Linked DNA regions of Macaca mulatta. The protein of the gene in region 2 interacts with the protein of the main gene of each other region in a pairwise test. Links are inferred from orthologs where the notes say so. Each region holds a gene or a part of one and is shown on either strand. Other genes may lie near its edges.

The links.
Region 1: the proteins of DNAJA3 (region 2) and TCF19 interact in a two-hybrid assay, tested with the Homo sapiens proteins (2 studies listed by BioGRID and IntAct). The two-hybrid records come from large-scale screens. The link is inferred for Macaca mulatta from reciprocal best matches to the Homo sapiens genes DNAJA3 and TCF19.

The regions. Positions count from the first base shown.
Region 1 is NC_133409.1:151,906,826-151,911,924, reverse strand, and holds the start of TCF19 (transcription factor 19), read left to right. Parts: upstream 1-1,937; 5' UTR 1,938-1,967; intron 1,968-2,677; coding exon of another isoform or gene 2,678-2,891; intron 2,892-2,969; coding exon of another isoform or gene 2,970-3,036; exon of another isoform or gene 3,037-3,102; intron 3,103-3,311; exon of another isoform or gene 3,312-3,338; coding exon of another isoform or gene 3,339-3,554; exon of another isoform or gene 3,555-4,100; intron 4,101-4,122; exon of another isoform or gene 4,123-4,347; intron 4,348-4,428; exon of another isoform or gene 4,429-4,893; 5' UTR 4,894-5,099. Other genes in the region: CCHCR1 (coiled-coil alpha-helical rod protein 1), read right to left, coding at 742-1,045, 2,678-2,891, 2,970-3,036, 3,339-3,554. UniProt on the Homo sapiens protein: Potential transcription factor that may play a role in the regulation of genes involved in cell cycle G1/S transition. May bind to regulatory elements of genes, including the promoter of the transcription factor FOXO1.
Region 2 is NC_133425.1:5,699,422-5,703,949, forward strand, and holds part of DNAJA3 (dnaJ homolog subfamily A member 3, mitochondrial), read left to right. Parts: intron 1-802; exon of another isoform or gene 803-1,076; coding exon 1,077-1,192; intron 1,193-3,068; coding exon 3,069-3,166; exon of another isoform or gene 3,167-4,309; intron 4,310-4,528. UniProt on the Homo sapiens protein: Modulates apoptotic signal transduction or effector structures within the mitochondrial matrix. Affect cytochrome C release from the mitochondria and caspase 3 activation, but not caspase 8 activation.

The DNA of each region.
Region 1 (5,099 bases), on a different chromosome or scaffold from region 2:
ATTTTTAGTAGAGACGGGGTTTCACCATGTTGGCCAGGCTGGTCTTGAACTCCTGACCTTGTGATCCACCTGCTTCGGCCTCCCAAAATGCTGGGATTACAGGCGTGAGCCACTGCACCCGGCCTTATGGTTTCTTTCCTTGACATGTCCAATTGGTTACAGTGGCCTTCCCTGAACCCCAGACTAAGTTAGTGCTCTCTAGTCCTTCGCCTTCAAGGCACTCCTCCTGATTGCAATTAATTATGATTAAATTAAAAGTGGATGTGTGTATCCCCCATGAGGCTGTCAGTTCCATCCATGAAGGCAGGATTCAGGCTAATTTGGTCACTGAGTCTGAGATGGCAAAGAGTAAGCACTGAGTTTGCGGACTGAATAATCTCTCTCTCCCAGTCCACCATAGCCCCCTTATATCCACCTTCCTCACTGCCCTCCACAATACCCCCGATGAATTGGTACCCAGAGTAAAGCAGGGAGGCAAACTACTTCCTACTAGAAAAGGAAGCAGGGCTTCAAGTCGTGGGAGGCCACCTGAGTCTTGGGGAAAAAGTGCAACCTGAATTAAGATCAAAATAACCAAATTCTCCATCTTTCTAGGCCATGTGTGTTTCTTTTCACCAAAGGTCTCATCACTCCACTACTCACTACTCATGGAGAGTCTCTTCTGCAATACCTGTTCTTTGCTTGGAAGCTACTGCCCAGCTCTCCGTTATGAATTTAAATCCTTCCCACCCCTGCATTCACCTGCTCTTGGTGCAGCCTCTGAACCTCTTCCAGCTCGCGCTGGCTCCCCTCTTCCAAGTTCTTCCGGACGACCTCAGCCCCAGCCAAAGCAGCACGCAGGCCCTCAGCCTCAGCTCGGCCGGCCTTCTCTGCCTGTGCCAGGGCCTCCAGCTCCATGGCCTGGGCCTCTAGCCTCATCTTCTGCTGCAGTGAGGTCTCCCGCAGGAGCCGGACCTCCTCCTCCAGCCGCCGCAGTTCTTGCAACTGCCGAGCGATCACCTCAGCCTGCTGGCTCAGGGCCTGTGACCCCTCCAGCTCCCAGGACCTTCAAAGACAGGTTAGTGCAGGTGAGACTTGTCTCCAGTGCTGGAAGGATAGTTGAGGGTGTAAACATAGCCAGAAGGAAAAGAGGACCTCTCTGCCCCCGTGTGAGGAGGTGAAGGGGGTGCTGAAGCTGGGGTATGGGGATGTCTGCATTGACATCATCATCATTCATCAAAGCCCTATTGAGCATGTTAAGTCCAGTGCCTGGACTCACAGGACCTAAAGTCTGGCTGAGATGATGGAACATGATCTCCCTAGAGAGAGCTACATACAGACAGATTCAACATCAAATGTGTATATCATTAGGCCACACATTCTTTTTGTTTTTTGGTGTTTTTTTGTCTTATTTATTTTTTATTTTTAGGCCACACATTTTAAGTGGAAAGGTTGGAAGAACAGAGACTTCTCAATTCTGATTTAAGGGCAAGAAGTTTGAGGGAGGAATGGGCATAGAGAGAGCTGAGCTTCCAGTATCAATATGGTGAGGCCAGGTGCTAGTTAAAATGCATTTATTGAGTGTTAGGTATACTTTATGAGGAGTCTGAGAGAACAGTACATAAATAACATAGTGCCAGCCTTTGGAGACATTGTCTACCAATATCATGTGAAGTTTAATCTAGCTTGGAACGTGGCTCCTGAGGCAGCTGTCTCTCTGACACCCAGGACCACAGGAGATTGTTGTTGTTGTTTTTAGAGACAGGGTATCACTGTGTCACCCAGGCCTCAATGCAGTGGCTGGATCATAGGTCACTGCAGCCTTCAACTCCTGAGCTCAAGTGATCCTACCACCTTAGCCTCCCGAGTAGCTGGGACTACAAATGCATGTCACCACAGCTAGCTAATTATTTTCTGTGGAGACGAAGTCTCGCTTTGTTGCCCGGGCTGGTCTTGAACTCCTGGGCTCAAGTGATTCTCCTGCCTCAGCTCCCAAAGTGCTAGGAGTATAGGTGTGAGCCACCATACCTGGCCTTTTCTTTATTTTCTTTCTTTCTTTAAGTATCAGGGATCTGTAGGCTAGGGAAATTGACTTGCCAAATGTCCTCTAGCTGGTAGCCAAACTAGAAATAGAGTCTCTGTCTCCTGACACCCAGTCTAGTGCTCCTTCTTCTTCATTGTGCTGCTGCTTCTAATGTAATCCTACTCTAGAGCAAAATGGCAGAATGCTATCCCAGTACATCTGGGAAGACACATGAAACAACAAGAATAAGAATGTTTACAGACAATACGACAGCATGGCCAGCTCCCATAGCATGTCCTCTGTAAAGGCTTTCTTCCATCAGAATGAACCCACACTGCCACAGTGCTGGGTCTCTACTTCTAGTTTGCACTTCTTCATCTTGCCTCATACTATGCTTTACCATCAGTTGATGGTCAATCTATCTCCCCTCTTAAGATTTTAGATTCCTTATTAATTACAAATTTAAGTCAGGATTTGTCTTATTCATTATTGTTATCCTCATCCCTAGCACCTAGCACACTGCTTTATTATCTAAGCACTGCAGGAACTAATAATTGCTTGCATAAAAATGAGTAGGTTCTGGAAACTAGGGCCGAAATAGGGTAAGGAGTTTATTCCAGTGAAGAAGGGTCACTAGCAAGCCAGCCTGAGAAAACAGCGAGGATGGATCCCTACCTGCCTCTCCGCCCTGGCTCCTGCCTGTCACTGGAAACATCCTGTTTCCACATGGTCACTTGAGGTCTCTGGGTGTCTAGTCGCCTCTCTGAGACATCTTGATGGCCTGGGGGTTGGACCAGGGGAATGTCTGAGAGCCAGGTGGGAGCCATTCTCGGCAGAGTTGAAAGGGGCCGAGCTTGAAAATGGGAGGGAGGAATCAGCCCAGTGGAACCTGAAGAATTACAAAATCAAAGATGGTCAGTTTCCCAGGCAGAGACAACCACCACTCCCCTTGTCTGGTCCCACTGACCTGAAGGTGGAAACATCTCCACATTATTTGAAGGCTCTAGATTCTGTCTCCAGCCATCTATGTTCCCCTGGACAATAGGAGAAACAAAGACACTCCAATTCAATTTTCAGGCCACCTTCCAAAGAGAAAGCCCCTACAATAACAAAGTCATAATCCTTGAATTACAGCCAGGTCCACCCGATGCTCAGCTCTTTTCCTACTTCCCCAAAGAAGTAGGAGATACCCCAAATTCACTTGCTTGTCTCAACCTGGTTCCTCAGGGAACCCAGGCAACTAACTATCAAGTGGAGAGAATTTACTGAAAAAGACAGACCGAGAGGGGCTCTGAGGCTTTACTCATACTTTCAGGATTCTGGGCAGTGCCTTTACCCTCCTCCTTAAGTTTCTATGGTCCCTGCTGCCCCTGGCCAGAGGTGAGAAAGGAGGTACACAGTGCAGGGGTCTTGAGCGCCATCTCCAGAGTTCTCTCCATGGCTCAGCAAGGCCTGGGGGAATCCCATCCAGACACCACCAGGCCATGACTCTTGGGTCCTTCCCTATTAAAGTGCTGGCCCAAGGCCTGGCCCCAGCTGAATGTGGCCACATGCAGGGCTAGACCCTTCCCAAGACCTTGGGAATCCAAGCAGCCTAGATCCCCAGGCAGAAAAGCCAGCGTCCTGACATCTCATCCAAATCTTTCCTGCGGCTGTCCTCTCAGCTTCTCTCTACTATCCCCTCAGCTTCCATGCCTGCCGCCCGCCTCCTCTTTCTCGAGTCCTAACACATAGTGGGCACTTTAAGACCTTCCCCCCACCCTCCCACCCTCATTAATCTATTTTTTACCCGAATCTGGGATCCCTACTCCGGTCCCTTTTTACATCCTAATCTACTTTTTTCTGAAGGAATTGTTCTGGTCCTCACCCTCACCCCCATCTCTCAATAGTCTGCTCTCGCCCCCTGTACGCTAGCCGGCTCTGCTCTCCCCCCACTGCTCCCCTAGATACCCAAGGCTGTTCACCCAGTTGGCCCCTGAGCTCTAAGGCTGTTCTGATCTCCTCATCTACCCCTTCACCTGGCCCCTGTTCCCCCTTCCCCTTTGGACCCCTTGAACCCTCCCAGCACCCCCGCTCAGCCCCTTCCCGCCCACAACCGACTCTTCCCGAACGTCCCTTACCCACCGCGAGAACCCCTACTGCGCCTTGACCACACCCCCTACGCCTCGCTCCGGGCCCCGCCTCTGCCTCGGCCTCTGACCGCGCCTGCGCAAGGCGGGCGCCCTAAGGTCCTACCTCACTGTAGGGAGGAGGAAAGGTGTACGCAGGCGCAGTGGCGTCTAAATCTGGGCCCACAGAATGTGTCGACGCATCTCCGCGCCCAGGCGGCTCCTCCCCACTGCGGGAACCCGGGAAAACTTGTGAACTAATCAGAAAAAGCGGAAGGCGGGAGATCTTAGGGAGCCGTCCAATGGCGCGGAAGAGAGCAAATGAGCTGGCCAATCAGAAACGGCACGGGGGCGGGCTCGCTCGGCGCGAAGTTCGGGCCCGGGAATTCCGAAGGAGGGGTAGGCGCTGCCCGCGCGCCGAGGCCGCGCCCCTCCTGGCCCCGGCTTCCTGGCTGTCAAACAGCTGCAGCAGTATCGGCTCCAGCCGAGGAGCCCAGGGGGTCCCGGGACCCGCGGCACAGGCTGGCACTGCTTGAAGAGGAGGCTACTCGGAGACTGCACCCCGCTGGTAGATCCGAAACGGGGCTGGGGCCGAGAGGGAAAAGGCCGGGTATGCCTTGCATGATCGCGGGGAGCCCCTTCCTGTTTTTTTTTTTTTTTTTTTTTTTTTTTTTTTTTTTTTGAGACGGAGTCTCGCTCTGCCGCCCAGGCTGGAGTGCAGTGGCCGGATCTCAGCTCACTGCAAGCTCCGCCTCCCGGGTTCACGCCATTCTCCTGCCTCAGCCTCCCGAGTAGTTGGGACTACAGGCGCCCGCCACCTCGCCCGGCTAGTTTTTTGTATTTTTTAGTAGAGACGGGGTTTCACCGTGTTAGCCAGGATGGTCTCGATCTCCTGACCTCGTGATCCGCCCGTCTCGGCCTCCCAAAGTGCTGGGATTACAGGCTTGAGCCACCGCGCCCGGCCTACCCCTTCCTGTTTTTATCCCACC
Region 2 (4,528 bases):
AAGTGCTGGGATTACAGGCGTGAGCCACTGTGCCCAGCCCAGTGGCCGTTCTTTTTTTTTTTTTTTTTTTTTTTGAGACAGCAGGATGTTGCTCTGTCACCTGGCTGGAGTGCAATGGCATGATCTTTGCTCACGACAGTCTCTGCCTCCCAGGTTCAAGCGATTCCCGTCTCAGCCTCCTGAGTAGCTGGGACTACAGGCACGTGCCACCATGCCTAGCTAATTTTTTGTGTTTTATTGGAGATGGGGTTTTACCATGTTGGCCAGGATGGTCTCGATCTCCTGACCTCGTGATCCGCCCGCCTTGGCTCCCCAGAGTGCTGGGATTACAGGCGTGAGCCACTGTGCCTGGCCTTTTTTTCCCCCCCAAGATAGAGTCTTGCCCTGTCACTGAGAGCTGGAGTACAGTGGCAGTCTCGGCTCACTGCAACCTCCGCCTCCCGGGTTCAAGCAATTCTCCTGCCTCAGCCTCCCGAGTAGCTGAGATTATAGGTGCACGCTACCATGCCCGGCTGATTTTTGTATTTTTAGTAGAGACGGGGTTTCACCGTGTTGACCAGGCAGGTCTTAAACTCCTGACCTTGTGATCAACCCGTCTCAACTTCCCAAAGTGATGGGATTACAGGCGTGAGCCAGTGGTGGTTCTTTTCAACGAATTCCTGTCAAGATTGTCTTCATGCAGTGAAAACTTTTTATTTGAGCAACTGGGGACCAGGGGAAACCACAGATTTTCTTTCTTTTTTTTTTTTTTTTTTTTTTTTTTTTTTTTTTTTTTGAGACGGAGTCTCGCTCTGTCGCCCAGGCTGGAGTGCAGTGGCCGGATCTCAGCTCACTGCAAGCTCCGCCTCCCGGGTTCACGCCATTCTCCTGCCTCAGCCTCCCGAGTAGCTGGGACTACAGGCGCCCGCCACCTCGCCCGGCTATTTTTTTGTATTTCTTAGTAGAGACGGGGTTTCACCGTGTTAGCCAGGATGGTCTCGATCTCCTGACCTCGTGATCCGCCCATCTCGGCCTCCCAAAGTGCTGGGATTACAGGCTTGAGCCACCGCGCCCGGCCAGATTTTCTTTCTTTATAGATCCCCCCTGGGACTCAGACAGACCAGAAGATTCGGATGGGTGGGAAAGGCATCCCCCGGATTAACAGCTACGGCTACGGAGACCACTACATCCACATCAAGATACGAGTTCCAAAGTAAGTGCCCCCTAGGCCGTGTCTAAGCCAGCCTGCTCCTGCGGTGGCATTGCTCCGGGAGCTCTGTGGCTTGGGCAGGGGACTGCTCCCTATAGGTCAGGTGGTTCCTGCCCGAGTTCTCTGTCTGTAAAGTGGGTGTAATAGAATGGTACACTTCTTTTTTTTTTTTTTTTTTTTGAGATGGAGTCTCGCTGTGTCCCTCAGGCTGGAGTGCAGTGGCGCCATCTCAGCTCACTGCAACCTCCGCTTCCTGGGTTCAAGCAATTCTCCTGCCTCAGCCTCCCGAGTAGCTGGGATTACAGGTGCCCGCCACCACACCCTGCTAATTTTTTGTATTTTTAGTAGAGACGGGGTTTCACCGTGTTAGCCAGGATGGCTTCAATCTCCTGACCTAGTGATCCGCCCACCTCAGCCTCCCAGAGTGTTGGGATTACAGGCGTGAGCCACCGCGCCCGGCCGGTATGGTCGACTTCTTGGAGTTGCTGGGAGAATTAAATGAACAACACATAGGAATTGCTTCGCTGCTGCTGCTATTGTTGAGTTTCTTCTTTTTTTTTTCTTTTTTTTTTTTTTTTTTTGAGACGGAGTCTCACTCTGTAGCCCAGGCTGGAGTGCAGTGGCGCGATCTTGGCTCACTGCAAGCTCCGACTCCCAGGTTCACGCCATTCTCCTGCCTCAGCCTCTGGGACTGTAGGTGCCTGCCACCACGCCTGGCTAATGTTTGTATTTTTAGTAGAGACGGGGTTTCTCTATGTTGTTCAGGCCGGTCTTGAACTCCTGACCTCTTGATCCACCTGCCTCGGCCTCCCAAAGTGCTGGGATTACAGGTATGAGCCACCGTGCCCGACCTTTTTTTGAGGAGTCTCTCGCTCTGTTGCCCAGGCTGGAGTGTGGTGTGCCATCTCAGCTCATTGCAACCTCCTCCTCCCTGGTTCAAGTGATTCTCATGCCTCAGCCTCCCGAGTTGCTGGGACTACAGGTGCCTACCACCACGCCCAGATAATTTTTATATTTTTAGTAGAGATGGAGTTTCACTGGCCAGGCTGGTCTCGAACTCCTGATCTCAGGTGATCTGCCCACCTTGTCCTCCCAAAGTGCTGGGATTACAGGTATGAGCCAGCATGCCTGGCCCGTTGATTTTCTCATTGATGTTACTGGCACTGTTAGGAGCTGGAGAGGCAGCCTGGGCGGAGTGCTGTGAGTACCTAGGGCAGGACATGCCTGACTCCCCTCGGGAGCACTCGTGCTTTTTGTTAATTAGATAATTTCTTTTCTTTTTTTCTTTTTCTTTTTTTTTTTTGAGACAGAGTCCAGCTCTGTCTCCAGGTGGAGTTCAGTGGTGCAATTACGGCTCACTGCAGCCTCCACCTCCCAAGTTCAAGCAATTCTGCCTCAGCCTCCCAAGTAGCTGGGAATACAGGGACGCACTGCCACGCCCAGCTAATTTTTGTAGTAGAGACGGGGTTTCACCTTGTTGACCAGGATGGTCTCTATTTCCTGACCTTGTGATCTGCCCGCCTTGGCCTCCCAAAGTGCTGGGATTACAGGCATGAGCCACCATGCGTGGCGTAATTAGATAATTTCTTACCTGCTTCACACACACACTTGTAAAATCTGTTTCCCCTCCTGTAAACTGTATTTAGCATAGCCACAGCGACACTTGTTTAAACGACTTAGGGTGTTTTATTAGCTTTTCTGTACAGAAGATTTGAGGGCGTGGTCCTTAGGTTCTTACCACTGCACTGCCTCAGGGTTTCTGCCCCTGCCAGGGTTGGGTCCCTCTCCTCCTATGCGCTTCGAGAGCACTGGCTGCCTGTGAGTTCTTTCCAAAGCTTCCTGGCGGAAGCCTTTGCTGCTAACTCTGCTTGATCCACAGGAGGCTAACGAGCCGGCAGCAGAACCTGATCCTGAGCTACGCCGAGGATGAGACAGATGTGGAGGGGACAGTGAATGGCGTCACACTCACCACCTCTGGTAAGGGGTCTGAAGACTACGCGGCGACACGTGGGGACCTCAGAGCCCCCTGGAGTGTGGACAATTCAGGGCAGCATGTTGGGGTTTCCACTTGGGGTTCTTCATGAAGCCTTTAAAATGTGCAGTTGAAAGAGGGGGGCTGTGGGCGGGAACACTGGGCAGGGAGCCGCAGCCCCCAGTCCAAGCTTCGCCTCCTCTCTCTGTGCGTGTTCGTGTGCTGAGGTGAGAGCACCAGGGCACTTCCTGCAGGCAGCTGTGCGTGTCTCAGACCCAGTGTTCTGAGTTCTATCCTTGGTTCTGCCACTTGCCCTGTGACCTCGGACAAATCCTTCCCTGAGACCTCCTGGCAAAAGCGTAAGGAGAGCATGGATTGGAAGGATTTGTGCACTTCCCACCAGGGACACTCCGCTAGGATTTCAGAGTGTCTTACAAACAATAGCAGCCACAGTAGTGGAGCCACAGTCAGAGGACTCAGTTCGCTGTTTTAGAGCAGGACTCACTCCGAATTCATCTAGCCATGAACAGATGCACCATTTACCCTGACCTCAGACATTGTGCTAGTGAGTGGCTGAGTGTCAGCGATCTGTCACCAGAACACCTGCTGTGGGCACTGTGGCAGTGGCACCCCAGCTACAGCCCCTCTTCTTGTGGGAGGTGGGGCCTCTGTTTCCTGGGATTCCTGCTCATGGCAGGGCAGGCTGTGCCCAGGGGGTCCTTGGTTCAGGCTCAACGTATTTCCTCATTGCATCATTTTGGTTTTGTTTGGATCCTGGGTGGAGTTCTCAGAACTTGCGTGGCCTTAAATTAGTGCATGGTAATTCGTAGCAGGTGTTTGGAGCTGGGGGCAGATTTTCCAAAAAAGTGGAGGATTTGGAGTTCCAGGGCCGGGGCAGGGGCTGGGATGGAAGTCCCTGGAATTTCACTGAGCTCTTGTTGCTCCTAGGGTACTGGAAGTCCTCTCTTAAAAAGCAGCTGCTGGCTGGGCGCAGTGGCTCTCGCATGTAATCCCAGCACATTGGGAGGCCGAGGCAGGTGGATCAGTTGAGGTCAGGAGTTTGAGACCAGCCTGGACAACATGGCGATACCCCGTCCCTACTAAAAATGCAAACACGCCGGGCGCGGTGGCTCAAGCCTGTAATCCCAGCACTTTGGGAGGCCGAGACGGGTGGATCACGAGGTCAGGAGATCGAGACCATCCTGGCTAATACGGTGAAACCCCGTCTCTACTAAAAAAATACAAAAAACTAGCCGGGCGAGGTGGCGGGCGCCTGTAGTCCCAGCTACTCGGGAGGCTGAGGCAGGAGAATGGCGGGAACCCGGGAGGCGGAGCTTGCAGTGAGCTGAGATCCGGCCACTGCACTC